2 linked regions of the Pelodiscus sinensis genome follow. The protein of the gene in region 1 purifies or fractionates together with the protein of each later gene. This does not show direct contact. Links are inferred from orthologs where the notes say so. Each region holds a gene or a part of one and is shown on either strand. Other genes may lie near its edges.

Region 1 (7,841 bases):
ACACATACAGCCCGCAGCCCCTTTGCATGTCACCTGCGGCACCTTGAGCCGCTTCTCAGGCTGCCTGCCTGCCTCATTGCTGGGGCTCCAGCTGCAGTGCTGAGCAGCACGGCTTTGAGCCAGGCTGTGCGTGCAGGAGCTGCCAGCCAATGGAATGGGGCGAGCGGCAAAAGGTGCAGCAGAGCATGCTTGCCGCGTCTGCCACAGCAGCAGCGCCACGCCGGCGCATGCATGGGCAGAAGCATAGCGGGGGAGGGAGGCAGTTGCCCTTGGGCATCACGCTAGGGGTCATCAGGCTGGGGTGGAACCATAGTGCACAGCCCAATGCATTGCAGCGAGCCGGGAGTGCCTGGTGGGCCACATGCTCCCTGTGCAAACTGCAATCAAGCCTCCAAGTGGGCGGTGGGAGCAGCCACTTCCAAGGTAGGGTGTCTCATACCTCCAGCACCTGGCTCTGCAGGAGGGGGATTTGGTTGAGGGGGGATAAGAGGCTGGGGGTGCATTGGGCTTGAGGGGGGAGGGAGGGGTTGGGGTGGTACTGGAGTGCACAAGCCCACGAATTACGGTGATCCAGGAGCTAGCAGGCCATGTGCTTGCTCCCTGTGCAAACTGCAATCAAGCCGAGGCAGCCAGGAGCGGCCACTTGAAAGGTAGGGTTACCTGTCCCATACCTCCGGTGCCTGCCTCTGGTTGGGAGGGGCGGAGGAGGGGGGAGACTGACTCTGGGGGAGGGGTGGGTGCATTGAGATAAAGCAGTGGGCTGGGGTGCCTGGCTCTGGGGTAGAAGAGTGACCATTTCAGTAAATATTGTATTGGCAGTTTGCTTGATTTGTTAAAATTGTGAAGCCAAAACAAGCAAACAAAAACAAAAATAGTCAATATAATGGTCTTCTGTTGACATGTGTTTTAGTAGTTAAATTGCTGAACTGTCATTGCTCATTAGAACTGTTGCTATATGGGTGGAAATTGGGTAAATATTGCATTTTATTAATATCAGCAGAACTGACTTAAATGGGGCCTCCATGTCGTGTTGTCTTGCCTTAATCTTTGTATTCACGCCCATCACTGAGAAAGAAGCTATTTGCATATATATGCAGTCATGCTTCAGTTGCGGTCCTCAGCATGTGCTGTGGATATCATTTGTGGCCCCTGGGTTTTCCAAAGTTGAGTAGCCCCAATTTAGAGCACCATGATAGTCCAGGAATTACATACAGAGGCAGAAGGGAAATATAGTGTTGTGATTCAAGCAACAGAAAGTTTAAGTAATAATTTTCCCCCAGTACTGTGGCAAAAGCAACCAGGACACAGCACACAAGATTAAGTGAAGGATTTTTTTAAAAACCCTTGTCACTTCTGGCTCCTACTGCTCAAACCCTTCAACCTTCCACCATGATCCAGAATACGTCATCAAGTTTCCTCTCTTTTTGGTCCTCCGGGGGATGAATTCAAGTTCAGACTATTTAAACCAGGACTACTTCAATGCAAACTTAGGAACTTTTGGTTCATGCCCACAGGGTCTGCCTATGATAATTACAGCACAGCTCTTGACATGACCATAGTCTGAACTGCAGAACAGTGTATATGTAACCTTAATTAACTTAGAAAAAAAGCTACTCTATGGGTCTCATTTATAAGCCATGTCAAGAAGGTCCAACTCACTCTTGGGAGGGAGTGCAGCCCACTTCAATAAATGCTGATAACAGAGAAAAGGTGCAAGATTCACATCAGTTCAGAAATAAAGGTACCATGACCACAGGACACATTTTGGAGAAGGGAGATTTTTCAAACAGGCCCTACATTGTGGTTGATATCTCATGTACATGAGCAAAAGGCATGAATTTCTCACATAAAATAATTCAATTCTGAATGAGGAAGAGATATATACAGCCTAGAGTAAGGTTGAAAAGTAGCTCACTTTATACTCATCTCCAAATATAAGCACATTCTCCATATTACTCATTGTGTCCAGCAAAACAGGTTCTTTGGATTATTTTTATGGCCCAAATACCTTTTTTTTTGTACTGGCAACTAAGAGATATTAAGATAAAAAAACCTACATATTTATTATTTTAAAAGCATTCATTTATTGTCTCTGAAGAAAGGAAAAAATCTAAATGAGTTTTGCAGTACTTTGTTAGAGGTACTTAAAAGAAAAAAAAGTCACATCCCGTTAGATCATACTGTATGGAAATTAATTTAGCATTGGACTCTGCCAAGTAAATGACAATATTTTAAAGAATTGTGCATGTAGACAGAAGATCAAAAATCGTCTTTCCATTACATATCAAACATCGCCCAAAAATATTAGTGCATTTTGTATCATCAAAATCTCACAAGTAAGCTTGGATAATTTTTTTCAGTAGTCTTAAAGAGGATAATATTTTAAAGCTTTTTTTTCCTGGATTCAAATTTTCACAGTAGCACAAAATTATAGGTTCAGCACATTTCCGATTTTTAATCTATTTCAATTGTGGGGCATGTAAGAATTATTTCATGATGTTCACATTCAAAATATTAAAGTTTTATAAGTTTAAAATTTCAAGTTGTCAGTATCAGGAGTCAAAATATACAAAGGAAATAAATACTCATAAATCCAGTTCCAAAAAGATCTCAAACGTAAGACAGGCAGGACTGCCCTCTACTACTCAGAATAGTGAGTACCTACTCTATCAAACAAACATTTCCTACGCGGTAGTGAAAAGTAGTACTACAAGGTGACCAGGCACACCCTGCTTAGCAAGTGTTGGCACATTTTACCCCAATTATATAAAAATTACTTTTTAACACACCTTGCCAAAAACTATTGCCATTTTAAGATAAAAAAAGATCAATTATCCTAAAAAATCCTCAACATTAATTTAGTTTGAATATGTTCAATAAGATTGATGTTACTCACCGAAATCCTGTCCGATTCCCCTTCAAACAAAACAGTCTCCATGTTGAAAGATGCCTTGTCTCTGTATCTCTTTCAACTAGAGTTCCTCCATTCTGCAAACTTGCATATCCTGGAAGAAAACAACAGAGGGCATCATCAGTGGCTGAAATTAGCGAACCTTACCAATAGATATCCTTAATGTTCAACAGTATAACAGAACACTGCTCAACAAAAATTATGACTTTACTCCTACCGTATATCTTTTACACCATAATGTCCTCAAAGATTCCATATATTATCTGTACAAAAGGCCTATAAAAATAATTAAAGGTTGCAAAGTGAATCATGTAAAACTCAAGCAATGATCACATTGAAGTTGGCCGATTTTCTACACACATTGTGATGGCACATTATTTTTAAAGACTATTTTCCCCACAGGATCCCACCTGCGCTAAAAAGTCAGTTTGTCAACAATAAGCAAAAAACCAGTTTCCTTCTACAGCTTCTTACATCTTCTTAGTTCAATGTGCAGGCCTCCGTTACTGTACAACATCCAAACCCTACAGTGAACATGGAATGGTTTTCCTTTACAAGCTTGTTTGTCGCATTTTATTCAGAAATTGTTATGATCTCCCCCCATAATTTAAGTAGTAGTATATACAGAACTGAGGCAGGGGCTAAAAGACTTTGCCACTTATGGTGCCATTTTTGGACAAGCCAGGGACTGGATTTTTTTTTCCCCAAGTCCTACTCAAGACACACAGCATGATTCTACCCCTTCAGGACTACTACCTTATTCCCTACCTGTGATGCAATGTTTTGCATAAAACAAGGAAAGGGTAGTATGATACTAGGCTTGTTCACGCCACACTATAAAATCACTGAAGACACACATTGATTGCTCTGGACCCCCATTCCTGTTTAATATACATAACAAATTAAGGCCAGGTTTGAGAAAGAGTGTGTGTATAAGATCATATAATTAGAGACAGTATCAGTCCATACAAAAGGACAGAAATTCCACCATGAACAATTACTAGTATCAAACATTCTGTAACCAAGTTTTTTTTTTTTTTTAAAGTCATGCATTAAGATAAAAATCCTATAGGAACCGTATATAAAATTAACATTTATTTCAATAAATGCATCACAGTAAGACAGTGCTAAATCAGAGAAAATTTTAACAGAAGAACGGCCATACTGGGTCAAACCAAAAGTACATTTAGCCCAGTATCTTCTGACTGTGGCCAAAGCCAGGTGCTCCAGAGGGAATGAACAGAACAAGTAATCATTAAGCGCTTCATTCCCTATTGCCCATTCTGAGCTCCTGGCAACCAGAAGCCAGGTACATCATCCCTGCATATCCTGTCTAATAGCTGTTGATGGAACTACTATCCATACATTTATATAGTTATTTTTTAAAACCCTGGTATAGTCTTGGCCTTCACAACATCCTCTGGCAAAGAGTTTCACAGGTTGACTGTGCACTACGTGAAGAAATACTTGATTTTGTTTTAAACCTGCTGCCTATTAATTTCATTTGGTGACCCCCTAGTTCTCATGGTATGAAAATAGGTAAATAGGACTTCCTAGTATAAAACCAGCAGCCATGGTTTTATAGACCTATCATATCACCCCCTTAGGTTGTCTCTTTTTCCAAGCTAATGAGTCTTATTAATCTTTCCTCATACGGAAGCTGTGCCAAATCCCTAATAATTACTGTTGTTCCTTTCTGAATCTTTTCCAAATACATATTTTTTTGAGGTGGAGTAACAACTCTACTTGCATGCAATATTCAAGATGCAGGAGTACCATAGATTAACACAGAAGCAATAAGGTATGTTCTGTCTTTTTCTCTATCCCTTTTTTAATGATTCCTAACATTGTGTTTGGTTTTTTGACTGCTGCTGCACAATGTGGATAGTTCTCTGAAAACATCCACTCAATGACTCCAAGATCTCTCTTCAGTGGTAACAGCTAATTTAGTCCCCATGATTTTGTACATATGGAAAAAATAATCCCTAATAATGTGCCTTACTTTGCGTTTATCAACATGAAAATTCATTTGCCACTTTGTTGCCCCATCACCTAGTTTTGTGAGATCCGTCTGAAGCTCTTCACAGTCTGCTTTAGTCTTAACTATCTTGAGCAGTTTAGAATTTCTGTATTAAAATACATAACAGCATTTCAAGGGCTCTCAGCAAGATCCCGACAGCAGCTAACTTATATCCAACAATGGTGAAGTATTAGCCAGACCTTTCCGCCAAGATGAGAGAAACAGTGACAACTTTTAAAGTATCCTTGGTTAGGATTTTGAACCAGTATCCAATAGAGATAAAAAGCCTAGAGCTACTGTTTCATACTATTTGCAAGTAAACCAATGTTGATATACATTGTGCACTGTTGGGTTACTTCACAACTACAATGGCTACAGACTCAAATTTTCAGCCATATAATGCGTCCTTTACATTTTAAGGAGTCTATTATTTTTAGTCTTCAAAAACATGCAAACAATGAAATATAGGCACACTAAACTGTTACTGATTCAATAAAGTTTCTGCAAGTGGCATCAGACTGACTGTGGAAATGCAGCTCAAGTTACCAAAACAGGCTCATCCTTTCAAGTCTGGGACAGCCATGATAGCACTCCAAACACACTATTCTATAGGAAAGACTTCTCAAAATGTGGTTAATCAAACACGCTCAGGGTACATCTACACTAGCCCCCTTGTTCGAACTAGGGAGGCTAATGAGGGCGACCAAAATTGCAAATGAAGCACAAGATTTAAATATCCCGCGCTTCGTTAGCATGTTCCCGGCTGGTCGCCATTTTGGAAATTGACTAACCTGAAATAACTGTCCGCGTCTACACGCGGCAGAGAAGGGCAATTCCAAAATAAACCTCATTCCAAGTAAGGAGTTTAACTATTAATTCGAAGTAAGAGGTTTATTTCAGAATCGCCCTTCTCTGCCGTGTGTAGACGTGGGCGGTTATTTCAGGCTAGTCAATTTCCAAAATGACGACCAGCCAGGAACATGCTAACGAAGCGCGGGATATTTAAATCCCGCGCTTCATTTGCAATTTTGGTCACCCTCATTAGGCTCCCTAATTCAAACTAGGGGGCTAGTGTAGATGTACCCTCAGTGTGGTAGAGTCTGAGAAACAATTCTACTAAGCAGAAAAACAAGGTATATATTTTTTGTTTGCACTCCCTCTCTGGTAATTCAAAATGGATAGGGTCTCATCAGCAATTCCACAACAGATATATGGCAGTCAGAGGGAGAACTGAGGAAACAAAACTGAGACAGAGACTGGCAGGACTTGATAGCAAACGGAAGATTCTTGGAAAGCCAAGTATGTGGAAAAGACATCCATGAACGACTACATGACAAGCTTAAAACCACTGAACTGAGGAATTCTCTTTTTAGTTTAAGGGTCTGCTACAACATAGCTGGGATGGTATATGGAATCTGGGACACTTTAAGACATGAATATCAATATTGTAGAATGCAGTGAGTTGTGCCAGATATGCCTTGTAAGATTTATGCAAAATTGATATAATCTCATTTATATGTTTGTATCACATTTGTATTTTGGATTATGAGCATGTAGGTCTGGTGTTACAAAACTTGTGTTATGCTTCTGGGTGACAACCAGAGAGAGTTTGGTAATGCACTGCCTAGCCTTGTTGGTACACCCAGGACCATCAACTATTCAACTGACCCATTGAGAAGAGGCAAGTGCTATGCCATAATATTCAACAAAGCATGTAAGGGCATGCCTATGGACAGAACTCTAGCCTCCCCAGGCTAGGTGCTAGGCAGCTTGTGTTGGGATAGTTTGAACCTCTTTAGTCCAGAACTCTCTGGTCCAACATGATCTGTGGTCTAGTAGGACCACAGATGTTGCTGGACTAGAAAGTCCCAGTCACAGAGGTTACCAGCAGCTGGGAGCTCAGCCAGTTTTGCAGCCTGCAGGGCCAGTGGCCTGAGGGCACCAAGCTTGGCCAGTGGGCTGGCAGCTGGAGCATGGCCAACTAGGGGCACAGAGCTCTGCCAGCTGGAGCAAAGGCAGGAGAAATGAGCCCCACCAGCCGGGAACTGAGCTCTGCTAGCCACAACAGCCAGGCTGCTGGGTAGACGTAGCCCCACTGGCTGGAGCGGGGCTGGGAACCTGGATTGGAGCCCTGCCAGCCGGCCAGGGACAGCATATCAGCTGGGCTGGTGGCCAAGTGGCGAGTCCCACAAGGCCCCCAGGCCTTACCTCCCCTGATCTGGCAAACTACCCTGTTCGGGACTGCACAGGTCTCAAGGGTGCCAGATCAGGGAGGTCCAACCCGTAGAAGCTACATGGCAAAAGGAATAATCAAGGCAGCTTGCATCTTCTCCATTTTGTCTTCATTTCTGCTTCTTACCTCTAGAATAACCTTTCTAGAGACAAAGCTTGGGAGGTGTGGGGTTGGAGGGGAGACTGAATGAGTTATCCAAGCTGTAGTTGTCTTCCAGAGTGACTTTCAAGCAAGCAGACTCATCAATACTACTAGGAACCTCATATATGGACTTCGAAGTCTTTGCATGTATATGATTGTTTTACTATTTAACATCTCTACTTGTTTTTTTGTCTTGTTTATTTAGAATAAACTTTTAGATTTAGACACTGAAGTATTGGAGTAGGTTGCAATTGTGCCCAATTGGTGTGATTACAATCAACCAGTGTGACTGTGATTTGACATAACTGAGTTAACAGAGGACTCTAGGGCTATGTCTAGACTGCAGGCTTCTTTCGAAAGAGGCTCTTTCGAAAGCATCTTTCGAAAGAGCCTCTTTCAAAAGATCGCGTCTAGACTGCAGGCGGATCTTTCGAAAGAGAAATCTGCTTTTTCGAAAGAGAGCACCCAGCGAGTCTGGATGCTCTCTTTCGAAGACGGCCTCTTTACATTGAAGAACGCCTTCTTTCGAAAGAGGA
Region 2 (7,053 bases), on another chromosome or scaffold:
TGCATGTAAGAAAGTGGTGCATTCTGATACATTGCAAGTCAAGTCATTAGGCAAGTTTGAAGAAATGCAATGATGCGTGATAGCCCTTATAACTAGCAAAAGGTGAATCTCTTATTAGACCAACTTCTGCTGGTGAAAAAGACAAGCATTTTCAGCTCAGAGCTGTTCTTCGGGTCTGGAAATGGCAACTACAATGTCGCAGCTAAACAGAAGCTGCAACAGATTGTTCAGCATATGTAGTAAATAAACACTGTAAGACACCATTGGAGATGAAGTAGCCAGCTAACACCTCTGCAGTCACAGAACCAAAAAAAAAAAGAGGTGGGGGAGAGTTACAGATTGTTGGGATAAACCATCAATCCAGTGTCTTTATTAAACCTATGATTTGCCGCTTCTAGCAAAGTTATGAATTTAAGCTCCCAGGGTCATCTTTAGAAGGCATTGTGCAGGCTTCCTCTAGAGGATGAGGATGGAGCGATCACTTTGGGAAGATATGGAGCGATTACTTTGGGAAAAGTGTTTACACACAGGCAGTAGGATGTTTGTGTTTTATTTTTCCAAGAGTTCATTTGAGCAACCTTGTTTCATGAAGCATAACTGGCAATTACAGAAAACAAAGCTTTTTGTTGAATTGGAAACATAATGCAACAACTCTTCTCTCACTCAGACAGGAATCTATCACACTGCTGGATTTTTCTGCCCAATGCCTTGAGCACATAGCTTTTTTGATTGCTCTTCCAGACTTCTCAATAGTAAAGCCACAGATGCACCCCTTTTTATGAGCACGCTCAGAAAAATAAGAGGAATATTTAAAATAACCATACAAGTTCACCCAGAGTTTTTTTTCTACTGCATGAGCAAAAATTACAAGTTACCAAAAGAAGAGGCCCCCAGCTACAGGGTTATTAGAATCCCAGAGCAAGCTTTAACCTTTCTGCTGAACTTCTCATCTAAACCATATACTAGACAATCTTGAGGGGAAATCAAGTTTTTCCAATGATTAAAAAGCCCCAGTTATTGTTTTAAGTGAATAGGGGAAAAATGAAACCGTGGACAAATCATTCTCCTGAATAGATTGCAAGTTCACACTATCCAACTGGTATCCTCTTCCTCGAAAGGGTATTACCTGGTGCTTCAGAGGAAAGATACACACACACACCCCAGTGCAGCAGGAGAGTTGTGCAATACTGTATAAGGAGAAAGGCCAGCTCTAGCCTTACCAAAGAAAGCTACTAATAAAAATAAAGTTCAACCACTGTATGTAACTACAACCTCAACAGTCATATATGACTGCACACTGGGAATCCATAATCCCTTCTTTCTAAAAATTACTAACCATTAATTGAATCTAGTGGAACGAGCCTAATGTGTACACATGAAAAATACAGTATGATGCACATTGAACAGGAACTGACAAATTAGTCAGAAAACAAATCCAGTCCCTTGTCTTCAAACAGCCATCTAATGGTGTTTCAAAGAAGGGAAAGTCACTCTAATGCACCTAACCAATTACTGCTGGATACTGAGGCGAGGAAGTGGATTCCTTCCCAGAGCCCAGGCTAATGACCTGAAAGAGGACAGGAGACAATGGAAGAGTAGGGGGTACCGGTCTTTTCAAATTACACTCCCTGAAAAGCAGTTTGTATACGCATAACACACGAGTAACCGTCGCCCATAGCTAGTAACGGCACTAAGAAATTAGGGCGGAACAGAAGGGAGAAGAGATTGACCTGACTTGGGTGATTCCTGGGTTCAGCTAAGAGACAGGCCATGCTCTGCATGCTGCCAAAACCCCAGCAGCTGGGTTAGGAGTGGCACTGATGCAGGGCACCACCAAGCTAGGGGAAGGACAGGAGCTTCCCACCTTGGCCAAGGGGCCAGGTGCTGCTCCTGGGGCGCCTAGCCTGCCCAGTGAGGGGGCCCAGCTGTGAATAGGGGCATATCCCAGCTCTGATATGCACCCTTCTGTGCTCCCTGCAGCCAGCACAGAGACTCAGCCAGAGCCAGCTGTCCTCCCTCTGCAGCCACCTGGGTGCTCGGCCCCTACAAGGCCAGAACCTGGGGCCCCTGGCCTGCCACCGCTCGCCCCCAGGCCTCCGCACCTCCACATGCCCGGCCCTGCCTACTTCCCAGGCCTCCTACCATAAGCCTGGACCTGCCCTGCCCCCCCTTCACATGCCCTCCTGCCCCCCCCAGCCCCCCCTTCACATGCCCTCCTGCCCCCCCCGCCCCCCTTCACATGCCCTCCTACCGCCCCCGCCCCCCCTTCACATGCCCGGCCCCCCCCGCCCCCCCTCACATGCCCTCCTGCCCCCCCGCCCCCCCTCACATGCCCTCCTGCCCCCCCAGCCCCCCTTCACATGCCCTCCTGCCCCCCCCAGCCCCCTCTTCACATGCCCTCCTGCCCCCCCCGGAACCCCCCACACATGCCCGCACCCCTTCACATGCGCGGCCCCCCCTTCACATGCCCTCCTGCCCCCCCGGACCCCCCTTCACATGCCCTCCTGCCCCCCCGCCCCCGTTCACATGCCCTCCTGCCCCCCCCGGACCCCCCCTTCACATGCCCTCCTGCCCCCCCGCCCCCGTTCACATGCCCTCCTGCCCCCCCCCGGACCCCCCCTTCACATGCCCTCCTGCCCCCCCCAGCCCCCCTTCACATGCCCTCCTGCCCCCCCCGGACCCCCCCTCACACGCCCGGGCCCCCCCCCCCGCACCTCGCGCACGTCCTGCAGGCACTCGAGCACGGCCAGGTTGTTGGCCCAGCTGTGCTTGGGGCAGACCCGGCTCACGTCCTCGCGGCAGGCGGGCTCCTCCGCCAGCTTCCAGCCGCCGCCGGCGCCGCCGCGAGGCCCCCGCCCCCCGGGGCCCGGCCCGCCCGCCGCCGGCTGCGGGGCGCTCTGCGCGGCCGCCAGCGCGAGCGAGAGCAGCAGCAGCGCCAGCGGGCCCGGCCCGCGGCTCCGGACACGTCCGCACGGCGCCATCTTGGATCCGACACCTCCGGCCCGCCGCCCGGCCCGCCCCCGCGCCCAGCGCGCAGGCGCAGCAGCCCGCGCCACGCCGGGACGCCACCGAGCGCGCGGGCGGCGACGCGCCCCTTTCTCTGGCGCCCGCGCGCCGCGCATGCGCTCGCCCCCGCAGTCCTTGGCTGATGGGAGCCGACCCCGCCCTCGCGCCGAGCCGCTGGGTCCCTGCGAGCGCCGGGTCCCCACGTGCGCCTGCTGCTCCGCGCCGCTCCGCCCCGACCCCCTGCCCCCCTGCAACCCGCCCCCTGCTCCGGGCCCCCCTGCAACCCGCCCCCCTGCTCCGGGACCCCCTGCAACCCGCCCCCCAGGGCCCGGCATCCCTGCAACCCGCCCCCCTGCTCCGGGACCCCCTGCCCCGCCCCCCAGGGCCCGGCATCCCTGCAACCCGCCCCCCTGCTCCGGGACCCCCTGCCCCGCCCCCTGCTCCGGGACCCCCTGCCCCCCAGGACCCGGCATCCCTGCAACCCGCCCCCTACTCCGGGACCCCCAGCCCCCCCTGAAACCTGCCCCCCTGCTCCGGGACCCCCTGCCCCCCCCTGCAACCCGCCCCCCTGCTCCGGGACCCCCAGCCCCCCCTGCAACCCGCCCCCCTACTCCGGGACCCCCTGCCCCCCCTGCAACCCGCCCCCTGCTCCGGGACCCCCAGCCCCCCCTGCAACCCGCCCCCCTGCTCCGGGACCCCCTGCCCCGCCCCCCAGGGCCCGGCATCCCTGCAACCCGCCCCCCTGCTCCGGGACCCCCTGCCCCCCTGCAACCCGCCCCCCTGCTCCGGGCCCCCCTGCAACCCGCCCCCCTGCTCCGGGCCCCCCTGCAACCCGCCCCCCAGGGCCCGGCATCCCTGCAACCCGCCCCCTGCTCCGGGCCCCCCTGCAACCCGCCCCCCAGGGCCCGGCATCCCTGCAACCTGCCCCCTGCTCCGGGACCCCCTGCCCCCCCTGCAACGCGCCCCCTGCTCCGGGACCCCCTGCCCCCCCTGCAACCCGCCCCCCTGCTCCGGGACCCCCTGCCCCCCAGGGCCCGGCATCCCTGCAACCCGCCCCCTGCTCCGGGACCCCCTGCAACCCGCCCCCTGCTCCGGGACCCCCTGCCCCGCCCCCCAGGGCCCGGCATCCCTGCAACCCGCCCCCTGCTCCGGGACCCCCTGCCTCCCCTGCAACCCGCCCCCCTGCTCTGGGACCCCCTGCCCCGCCCCCCAGGGCCCGGCATCCCTGCAACCCGCCCCCTGCTCCGGGACCCCCTGCCTCCCCTGCAACCCGCCCCCCTGCTCTGGGACCCCCTGCCCCGCCCCCCAGGGCCCGGCATCCCTGCAACCCGCCCCCTGCTCCGGGACCCCCTGCCTCCCCTGCAACCCGCCCCCCTGCTCTGGGACCCCCTGCCCCGCCCCCCAGGGCCCGGCATCCCTGCAACCCGCCCCCTGCTCCGGGCCCCCCTGCAACCCGCCCCCCAGGGCCCGGCATCCCTGCAACCTGCCCCCTGCTCCGGGACCCCCTGCCCCCCCTGCAACGCGCCCCCTGCTCCGGGACCCCCTGCCCACCCTGCAACCCGCCCCCCTGCTCCGGGACCCCCTGCCCCCCAGGGCCCGGCATCCCTGCAACCCGCCCCCTGCTCCGGGACCCCCTGCAACCCGCCCCCTGCTCCGGGACCCCCTGCCTCCCCTGCAACCCGCCCCCCTGCTCTGGGACCCCCTGCCCCGCCCCCCAGGGCCCGGCATCCCTGCAACCCGCCCCCTGCTCCGGGACCCCCTGCAACCCGCCCCCTGCTCCGGGACCCCCTGCCTCCCCTGCAACCTGCCCCCCTGCTCTGGGACCCCCTGCCCCGCCCCCCAGGGCCCGGCATCCCTACAACCCGCCCCCTGCTCCAGGACCCCCTGCCTCCCCTGCAACCCGCCCCCCTGCTCTGGGACCCCCTGCCCCGCCCCCCAGGGCCCGGCATCCCTGCAACCTGCCCCCTGCTCCGGGACCCCCTGCCCCCCCTGCAACGCGCCCCCTGCTCCGGGACCCCCTGCCCCCCCTGCAACCCGTCCCCCTGCTCCGGGACCCCCTGCCCCCCAGGGCCCGGCATCCCTGCAACCCGCCCCCTGCTCCGGGACCCCCTGCAACCTGCCCCCTGCTCCGGGACCCCCTGCCTCCCCTGCAACCCGCCCCCCTGCTCTGGGACCCCCTGCCCCGCCCCCCAGGGCCGGGCATCCCTGCAACCCGCCCCCTGCTTCGGGACCCCCTGCAACCCGCCCCCTGCTCCGGGACCCCCTGCCTCCCCTGCAACCCGCCCCCCTGCTCTGGGACCCCCTGCCCCGCCCCCCAGGGCCCGGCATCCCTGCAACCCGCCCCCTGCTCCGGGACCCCCTGCAACCCGCCCCCTGCTCCGGGACCCCCTGCCCCGCCCCCCAGGGCCCGGCATCCCTGCAACCCGCCCCCTGCTCCGGGACCCCCTGCCTCCCCTGCAACCCGCCCCCCTGCTCTGGGACCCCCTGCCCCGCCCCCCAGGGCCCGGCATCCCTGCAACCCGCCCCCCTGCTCCGGGACCCCCTGCCTCCCCTGCAACCCGCCCCCCTGCTCTGGGACCCCCTGCCCCGCCCCCCAGGGCCCGGCATCCCTGCAACCCGCCCCCTGCTCCGGGACCCCCTGCCTCCCCTGCAACCCGCCCCCCTGCTCTGGGACCCCCTGCCCCGCCCCCCAGGGCCCGGCATCCCTGCAACCCGCCCTCCTGCTCCGGGACCCCCTGCTCCCCCTGCAACCCGCCCCCCTGCTCCGGGACCCCCTGCCGCCCCAGGGCCTGGCATCCCTGCTGTGACGTAGTGGGGGTACCTGGCTGGTTTCTATGCTGCTGGCTCTGGGGTAACCCCCACTGGCTGCCGTGGGTACCACGACCCAGCAAAACAGGATGTGTCACTATGCAAACCAGAATGGCCAGACACCCCCCATGGAGAGGAACAAAGGAAGGTGGAATGCTGCCCTGGCTGGGGGGCAGGGCTGGAAGTTAGTTGGTTGCTGGCTGGCTGTGAGCATGGAGGAGACAGCCTAGGGAGAGGAGCTGGAGTTTAGGGGCCCAGTCTCCCCCATCTCAAGGGGGCCTGAGGCATCCTAGCCCAGCTCTGTGACCAGACTACATCTGTGCTGTGCTGTATCCTGGAGAGGCAATAAACTTCCTCTATCCCACCGGCTGGTGCAGTCTGTTTGTGCCATTTCGGGGTGCAGGAGACGGGGGACCCCCAACGCGCCGTCACACCTGCAACCCGCCCTCCTGCTCCGGGACCCTCTGATCCCTCAGGCCCCGGCATCCCTGCAACCCTCCCCCTCTGCCCCGGGACCCGCTGCCCCCCCAGGGCCCGGCATCCCTGCAACCCTCCCCGCTGCTCCGGGACCCCCTGCTCCCCTCAGGGCCTGGCATCCCTGCATCCCTCCCCCACTGCTCTGGGACCCTGGCCCCCTCCATGCTTCCCCAGCCTCTACCATGCCCTCTCTGCTGCCCTCAGTCCCAGGACCCCCAGCATCCCTGATCCCCCTTCCCAGTTGTCCTGGGACCCCTGGCACCCTGCCAGTGCCCAGCCTCTCTAGCACCCACTCCGCTTCTCAAGAGCAGGCAAAGGAGAGTTCCACTGCCACTAACCCACACTGACAGCTGGGATTCTGAGTTACCCAGTTCTGTGGAGGTGCCGATATGCTGTTCTTTCATCACTGTGGTTAGTAGCTTCTAGAATTGAAAGTAAAACAAATGAATAATATTTATGAAATGTTAAGAGGAAGTTTCTAGTCCGTCCTCCCCACACAGGGAGATAACGTGCATCTCACAGGATTTTGTTTCATGATGATTTCTAGAGCCCCACAAGTCTGCGGATATCCGCTGATATCCACAGGTATGATATCTGCAGCTCGTTTTTGCGGGTATGGACACAGATGCAGATAAAAACTTTGTATCTAGAACCTTGCACATTTGCGGAGACCTGCTTTATATCTGCAGGAATGCACATCTGCGGATGTGGCTGCCGTGATCAATGAATCATTCTTGCAGACGCGGCTACCAATTTTGTGTC

The links.
Region 2: the proteins of OSBPL8 (region 1) and GLG1 purify together in Homo sapiens (co-immunoprecipitation; 3 studies listed by BioGRID and IntAct, with this or other methods). This does not show direct contact. The link is inferred for Pelodiscus sinensis from reciprocal best matches to the Homo sapiens genes OSBPL8 and GLG1.

What each region holds. Positions count from the first base shown.
Region 1 is NC_134711.1:68,315,129-68,322,969, forward strand, and holds the start of OSBPL8 (oxysterol-binding protein-related protein 8), read right to left. Parts: upstream 3,006-7,841; 5' UTR 2,939-3,005; coding exon of another isoform or gene 2,897-2,938; intron 1-2,896. UniProt on the Homo sapiens protein: Lipid transporter involved in lipid countertransport between the endoplasmic reticulum and the plasma membrane: specifically exchanges phosphatidylserine with phosphatidylinositol 4-phosphate (PI4P), delivering phosphatidylserine to the plasma membrane in exchange for PI4P, which is degraded by the SAC1/SACM1L phosphatase in the endoplasmic reticulum.
Region 2 is NC_134722.1:48,258,012-48,265,064, reverse strand, and holds the start of GLG1 (Golgi apparatus protein 1), read right to left. Parts: upstream 3,014-7,053; 5' UTR 2,982-3,013; coding exon 2,715-2,981; intron 1-2,714. UniProt on the Homo sapiens protein: Binds fibroblast growth factor and E-selectin (cell-adhesion lectin on endothelial cells mediating the binding of neutrophils).